Linked DNA regions of Mus musculus. Each later gene encodes a partner of the first gene's protein in a complex. Links are inferred from orthologs where the notes say so. Each region holds a gene or a part of one and is shown in the gene's direction. Other genes may lie near its edges. The genes, in order: Gtf2h4 and Polr2c.

Region 1 (3,910 bases):
GCCCCCATAAGAATTGGAGACCCTACAGATGACCTTAGTTGATGTCATTTTCCCTTTCCCTTGTCTTGCCTAGGATAAATTCATAAATCAAATCAGGGCAAATGATAGCTTTCTCTTAAAAATTGCAATGTAATCTTCTAACTCCCCAGGGAGTTGGAAGAGATTAAGATTGAGTGAGCAGGTGGGAGGATGGTGGAGAGATGGCTGTCCTTCCAAAGGGCCCAAGTTCAATTCCTAGCACTAACATAACAGCTCACTGCTGTATGTAATTCCAGTTCCAGGGAATCTGACTTCACATAGACATTTTGATTGATTGAGCTCCAAATGAGGGCAATTGTGTTGATCCACGTCATGTGAAGATGTTCTGCACTGATCATTATCTCAGTTTCGTGAGGAACAACAGAGGTCAAGAAACCCAGTTTGTCGCCGGGTGTGGTGGCGCACGCCTTTAATCCCAGCACTCGGGAGGCAGAGGCAGGCGGAGTTCTGAGTTCGAGGCTAGCCTGGTCTACAAAGTGAGTTCCAGGACAGCCAGAGCTATACAGAGAAACCCTGTCTCGAAAAACCTAAAAAAAAAATAAGAAGAAGGAAGAAAGAAAGAAAGAAAGAAAGAAAGAAAGAAAGAAACCCAGTTTGAGGTCTCTACATCTAACATAACACCACTAAGCTGCTTTAGTACGTCTCCGATAGGAGGCCCCGGAGCTCCTCCAGGTTTGCTGCCTCCTCCTGATCTGACAAGAGATTCACCTTGCTGTATAGGGGAGAGAGGCGCGGAATCAAAAGGTCTGACTTCGGATGTTTCTAGGGAATCCCAATGAAAAGCCACCTTTTCTCGGCCGGCCTTCTTGCGGTGCCTTTAGGGATTTGTAGTCAGAGCCTGACTCATAGTCTCCAATGTAGGCTAGAAGAGGACTACAATTCCCAAGATGCCTTGCGACAGGCGAGTGCATTGCCTATTCTAACCCCCTTTACTCTTGACACATTTCTCTGCTCTCCCTTCTCTTTGGACTGCTTATTGACTGGGTCCTGTCTGTGAAGTTCTTCGTGGTTCTCCCACCTTTTAGAATTCTCATCCTTTATTTCCAGGAGCCAATGCGAGACATTAGCACTGATTAGGCGACGGCTGGTGACCCGGGGTGCGCGAGGGGGAGCCGAGTGGTGAGGGGGTTTGAGAAGGGTAAGGGAGAGAGTTGAGCGAGAAGCGGAGTGAAAGGAAAGTCGGGGAGATGTGAGGAGCTCAGAGGCGTGGGTCTCAGTGAGAGGGGTAAGGCTGGCTGGAGGGAAAGGGATAGAAAGGGATTTAGGTTGGTAAGCATGAGGCAGTTTATAGCCGTGTCCCCAGATGAGAGCTAAGGATTTGACCCATTTGGACTGATCTGACCAGGAGGGTGGACAAGAGAGAGAAGCCTGGGCTCAAATAAGTATCTTTGTCAATGCTTAGGTGAACTTGAGATGTCATTGATATGCAAAACACTCGCAAGTATGAAACGATAAGTAATTCAGTCCACACCGGTGAGGATCTGGATTTGATCCTCAGGACCATACACAAAAATGAGACTAATTCCACCTCCTGGAGACTGAACAAAGGCTGAACTTCAAGGGCAGATATGGGATGAAAAGCCTGGTGGCCACTTGGGAAGTAAAGGCAGATGGATCAGGGGTTCAAATCCATCCTTGGCTCCATAGCAAATTCAAGGCCATTGTGAGCTGCATAATGAAGAAAAGAAGCAGGACACGAGGGGTTTGGGAGGAATAGGTGATAAGTGGCATCAGACAGGAAAGTACAGAAAGTGAACCTAATAGATCTGGAGTCAGTGATATAGGCCTGGGTCATGTGGGAGTTCTGACATTTGTCCCTCTCAGGTGATGGAGATCACCCCGGCGAGGGGTGGACTGAACCGAGCACACCTACAATGCAGGAATCTCCAGGAGTTCTTAGGAGGCCTGAGCCCTGGGGTGCTGGACCGATTGTATGGGCACCCTGCCACTTGTCTGGCTGTCTTCAGGTGAGGAGCCTTCAGAGCAAAGGGGATGTTTGGAGAATGTAATGGGGCCTGCAGACTGAAATTAGTTAGCACGGGGAGAGGCTTATTAGCCCAGCGTGAGTACCAGGGTGTTAGACATTACTCCAAAGTGTGTCAGTCCAAACCAGAAAGAGGTTGTGGGGACAGTGGGACTGCTAAGGACGTGGGAGATGGCATGAGACGTTTGAGAGACAGAGGTTGCAGGGTATTTGATCACATAGTGAACTCCAAGATTATGAACCAGAAAAACCTTGTTATTGTGGCTCAGCCCTAAGCACACACCTTTTTTTTAGCCAAGGGCTAATGTCAACCGTAGGTCAAGAGATGGAGCAACCAAGTAAACAGAAATTAGCAACGTTGAGTTGAAGGGAATTTAAGACAGTGTGGAGAATTCTCGGAGAGGGAGCTTTTTCTTTCTGGGATGTCATTGGAGAAAAAAAGGTCAGCTGGGTGCTTTCTCTGCCTCTCTGAGCAGTTGGGATGTTTGTTTTTTTTAAACCACAGGCAGATGAGGGCAGAGATGCAGGTGTGAGGTGGCTTCTGATAACATTTGGCCTCTGAACCTTACAGGGAGCTCCCCTCTTTGGCTAAGAACTGGGTCATGAGGATGCTCTTTCTGGAGCAGCCGCTACCACAGGCTGCGGTGGCCCTGTGGGTGAAGAAGGAGTTCAGCAAGTGAGTCCCGGGCGGGCGCAGCTGCTTCGAGCTTCCCAACAGCCACATTTCTCAAAGGACTTTTGTTTGGAACACTTGCAGGGTGCACACACAGAGGAGCTAGGGGAATCAGATGTGGGCCTTTCAACAGAGCCTGCCCTACACAAGGAAAACCCTCCAGAATACACCTGCAGAGGTTTCCACTGTGGAGAGTTGTGTCTCTTTAGCTGTATGCTAACTAGAACAAAACAAACAAACAAACAAAAAGACAAAGGGGAAAAAGCCGCCCCCGCACTCCCCCAACCCCAAGTTGATAGGTAGAGATAGGGAACCAGAGATTCAAGGATTATATCGTAAGTTTGATGTATTGTAAGTTTGAGGCTGTCCCAGGCTTCATAGGACCCTTCCTGAAACAAAACAAATGAAAAGGAAAAAAAAAAAAAAAAGAATTGACTTAGAAAACAAAACAGAGAAACCAACAACAATCAAAACGAACTAGGTTCTCCTTAGCATTGCAGTGCAGGTATCTGAGGTGAGAAACACAGCTTCGCCCTGCGACACTGTTCCAAGGGCCTCCCGTTCAGAGGAGATAGATGAAGCTCCCTGGAGGTCTCCTTGCTATTGGTGATACCCCACTCAACTCTGCTTCTGTCCAGGGCTCAGGAGGAAAGTACGGGGCTGCTGAGTGGCCTCCGTATCTGGCATACCCAGCTGCTCCCTGGTGGACTCCAAGGCCTCATCTTGAACCCCGTCTTCCGCCAGAACCTCCGAATTGCCCTTCTGGGTGGGTACGTCATTTCCCTCCCTTCCTGAGCTAGGCAAGGGGAACTGCTTATTACACTGGTGGGGGAGAATCTCCTGAGAGGCCTCCCCAGAGCCTCTCCCCATCCCCACCCCCACCCCTTGGAATGCTCCTTCAAGAATACATTGGACCAGGTGTGGATGTAGGGTGCAGAAAATGTCCTTTTCTTGTAGCCCTTGGGATGAGGGTAAAGACCTAGGGATGCAGGAAGCAGACAGGGTTCCTTACTCCTGTGTATCCTGGCCACAGGGGCAAGGCCTGGTCTGATGACACAAGTCAGCTGGGACCAGACAAGCATGCCCGGGACGTCCCCTCACTGGACAAGTATGCTGAGGAGCGCTGGGAGGTGAGGAGTGTGCCTCTGCTGTGCGCCCGTTCCCCCTGGGAGCCGAGGAACCGGCCTCCACTGTGCTCCGGTTCCCTGTAACCC
Region 2 (3,910 bases), on another chromosome or scaffold:
GCGTGGTGGCACACACCTTTAATCCCAGCACTTGGGAGGCAGAGGCAGAGGCAGGCGGATTTCTGAGTTCGAGGCCAGCCTGGTCTACAAAGTGAGTTCCAGGACAGCCAGAGCTATACAGAGAAACCCTGTCTTGAAAAACAAAAACAAAAACAAACAAACAAAAAAACATGGGTTTTGTTTTTCTTGTGTATGCATTACAGTACTCTCTCTGACATTAGCTCGGATGTGGGTCTCTTGTTTGCTTCTTTGTGTGTTATCTAACTGTCCTGAGAGCATCCAGGGGATTCTTCTCTCCATCTTCCTACTCACAGGAGCCTAAGATTAGACTCTTGCATTACCATGCCTCTTTACAGGTGTTCTGAGAATTTGACCTTGTGTCCTTGCACATCAGGGTTTGGCTTCGCACCCTGGAACAAGTGACTGAGGTGCATATTTTACCCGTCAAAGCAGACCTGGCCTCCAGGTTCTCCCAGCATCCTTCAGTCCCCACCTGGCATGCTCTGCCTCCACCCTGAACTTTCCAGCCCAGAGGCTGGGCTGCCCTTCCCCAAGAGGTTCTTCCCTATAGAATCCAGACATTTTGCTCTTGCTCTCTGGATCGATCTATCTCCCTCCCCCTGCCCCAGGCCCTTTCTCTTCTCCCTCTCTGCCCTTCCCATGGCGGTTCCCCGGCCTCTGTTCTTAAGGCCAGTGAACTCACCTGAGAGCAGCTTCCCAATAAACCTGCCTTTTAATATATTCTAATCTGTCTTGAATTGGCTCATTTTACCAGCAGAGAAATAACCTATCAGTCGTCTTGCATGCTTGAGTCACCTCCCTAGCCATTTTGTTCATGTATAGATGTACAACTTTTTAATGGTTTTTTTTAAGGTTTCATTGTATTCCTATGTATTTTAAAAATTATTTTTATGTATAAGGATGTTTTGCTTGCATGTATATTTGTGCACCATGTGAATACCTGGTGCCCTCAGATACCAGGAGAGAGTTTCCTCAGAAACTGAAGCTAAAGATGTTAGGCATCATATGGGTGCTGGGAATACAATCCAAGTCTTACATAAGAACAGCCAGTGCTCTTATCCCCAATGCCGTATCTCCAGCCCCGTATGTAAGTTTAACCAAGTCTCTATCGATCATTGCCTAATGCGTTATTTTTAGCAGTTATAAATAACGTTGGCATGAATGACCCTGTACATTTAATTTTTGTGCTGTATATCTTGGGGATTTCAAGAGTATAGGACCAATGCATTTTGGCGCCGGTGTGGTTAGAAAACACAGGCCAGGAGAGTTCCGGCCTCCGGTCAGCAGGTGGCGCTGCGCCCGCGACTAGCCGGAAGCGCCGATTGCCCCGCCGACAAACTGCTGGTGGCCGCGCAGGCGCGCTGTGCGGCTGGCGCGGGAGCCTGGCGGAGGGTCGCGATGCCGTACGCCAACCAGCCAACAGTGCGGATCACGGAACTCACCGAAGAGAACGTCAAGTTCATTATCGAGAACACGGACCTGGCGTAAGGCGGCGAGGGGAGAGGCGGGCGGGCGGCCGGGTCCTCGAGCTCCTGACCCCGGGGCTGTGGCTTCGGGGCCGCTCACACCGCCTGTCTTTCCTCCTGTAGGGTGGCCAATTCCATTCGGAGGGTCTTCATCGCAGAGGTGCCCATAATAGGTAAGCGACCGTCCCTGGGAGCCCGTGCCGCCCACCCTCCGCCCGGGGTGGGGGCTGAGAACACTGCGGTGCTGTACGCTGGGCTGGGGCAGCCTAGGCCCGCCTTGGTGCGTGCCTTGCTCAGCTGCGGGTTTCCCAGTACTGTTCGTCTACCCCAAAGCAACAGAAATCAAAACCAAGCACTGTTAAACAGCGGAGGGCTGCAGCCTCCTCATCCGGGCGGTGTAGATGCTAGGCGTCGTTAGCAGGTGATGCAGCGATTGCCGAAGTAGTGTAGATGATGCGCTTTTGCTTTGACGTCAGTGTTCGCTACTGGCTGGTGTCTTTTGAACATATATGCTGATTTTACAAAATCATGGGCTTCGTTATGTAGTTTGAAATCTACACACACAGAGTGTACCTGGTCTCTCCCATCCTTCCAGATAGTACCCTGCTATACTTTCTTGTCGTCTCCCCCTATCTTTTTGAAAACCTTTATTTACATATATGTGTCTATCTCTGGGCTCGAGTACCGGAGTTCATGTGTAGAGGTCAGAGTACAGCTTGTAGGAGGGATTCTCTTCTCCCACCATATGGGGCCCAGGATTGAACTCCTTAAGGCTTGACAACAAAAAGTATCTTGCACATCTTGCAGGCTCCGAACTTTCTCTTTATTAAAGAGAGAAAGAGAAAAAGAGAGAGATTCCACATGAGAGAAAGCATGTGTTATAAAGATTTTCTAATTTTGTTTGTTTGTTTGTTTTTCAAGACAGGGTTTCTCTGTGTAGCCCTGGCTGTCCTGGAACTCACTTTGTAGACCAGGCTGGCCTGGAACTCAGAAATCTGCCTGCCTCTGCCTCTGCCTCCCAAGAGCTGGGATTAAAGGCGTGCACCACCACTGCCCGGCTTAAGATTTTCTTTAACAAACAACATACTTTTGTTCCTTATTGTTGAAGTGTGTGTGTGTGTGTGTGTGTGTGTGTGAGAGAGAGACAGACAGACAGACAGACTTCGGTTTTTTGTTTTTTTAAATCCATCCTGGTGTCTTTTTAAAAATGAATTTCTTATTTCTGCTGCATATGTAAATCATGTACGTTTTCAGTTAGAGACAAGACATGAGCAAACATAACAAGGCAAAATATGACACCTTCAGGAGAATCTGACCAGTTTTATCGTTTGTTTGTTTGTTTGTTTTGAGAGAGGAAGGAGGCCAAAAGGGAGTGGAGCGTTTGTAAACATGGACACTCGAGGTTTTCTGAGATGGGGAATTCCCACCAGGGGTCGGGGAATGGGAATGGTGGAAGTAGATTAAGGGCATTCAATGGGCCCCAGAAGTAAATCATCAGGAAGCTTGGTCCTTGCTTGAGTTGAGGAAGCACTGCGGTGAAGGGCAGGTTGGGCCTATCCTCAGCTGGTCTTCCGGCCTCTTCCTGGCCTACATCAGCTCCTTGAGAACTGGGTTTCCAACACCACTGATTTCTGAACATTATTGTTTACATGCAGGTGTTTGCTGATGGGTGACTAGACACATGCTTAAGTGCAGCATCTGTATGCTACAGCCCCATTTGCCCAGCAGTGCCTGGGGGGGGATTGGGTTCTATTGTTAGTGGGCTTTCCCTGGTGAAGCTGTCCAGTGAACATCTACTGATGAGAGGAACACTGAAATTCCAAGTGGGCTATCTGGTTATATCACAAACGAGGTGTGGGCCCTGAAACTTGGGATGTTTTGCTGTTGTGATGTTTTCCCTGACTTTTAAGTTTTTAAAATTGTGTCTCTGTGTGTGGGTGTTTACCAGTGAATGCAGGGGCTGGAGGTGGCCAGGGGTCTCAGATGCCCCTGGAGTTGGAGTTACAGGGGTTGTGAGCTGCCTGACATGGGTGCCAGGAACCTCAGAACTGCGGAGCCATCCCTCCAGCCCATGGTGTCCAGATAGCTTTCGTTCTTGGGTTTGGGATTGGCACAGGTAGCAGATTTAAAGTAATCCTTAGATAAGTATTCAACTCCTTAAATATCCCAAAAAGCTCTAAGAGAGAGTATGTGCATGCATGTGTGGTGTATCACTAGCAAGGCCCATCCCCCACTGGGGCAGGAAGGTGTTATGTATGGCGTGTGGGATGCCTGAACCTGGAGCCATCACTTTGAAGTCACTTTGAGCCTCTTGCAGCCTGGTCAGGACACCTTCAACTTTGTAAGCTGAATTGATGCTTGCTTGCTTGCTTGCTTGCTTTTTTTTTTTTTTTTTTTTTTTTAATTTTTGTTTTTGTTTGGTT

The links.
Region 2: Gtf2h4 (region 1) and Polr2c share a complex: the UniProt entries of both Homo sapiens proteins name them as parts of the TBP-based Pol II pre-initiation complex. The link is inferred for Mus musculus from reciprocal best matches to the Homo sapiens genes GTF2H4 and POLR2C.

What each region holds. Positions count from the first base shown.
Region 1 is NC_000083.6:35,670,782-35,674,691, reverse strand, and holds the start of Gtf2h4 (general transcription factor IIH subunit 4), read left to right. Parts: upstream 1-948; 5' UTR 949-1,136; exon of another isoform or gene 1,137-1,177; intron 1,178-1,863; 5' UTR 1,864-1,866; coding exon 1,867-2,006; intron 2,007-2,594; coding exon 2,595-2,699; intron 2,700-3,334; coding exon 3,335-3,466; intron 3,467-3,729; coding exon 3,730-3,826; intron 3,827-3,910. UniProt on the Homo sapiens protein: Component of the general transcription and DNA repair factor IIH (TFIIH) core complex, which is involved in general and transcription-coupled nucleotide excision repair (NER) of damaged DNA and, when complexed to CAK, in RNA transcription by RNA polymerase II.
Region 2 is NC_000074.6:94,856,137-94,860,046, forward strand, and holds the start of Polr2c (DNA-directed RNA polymerase II subunit RPB3), read left to right. Parts: upstream 1-1,313; 5' UTR 1,314-1,419; coding exon 1,420-1,505; intron 1,506-1,610; coding exon 1,611-1,660; intron 1,661-3,910. UniProt on the Homo sapiens protein: Core component of RNA polymerase II (Pol II), a DNA-dependent RNA polymerase which synthesizes mRNA precursors and many functional non-coding RNAs using the four ribonucleoside triphosphates as substrates.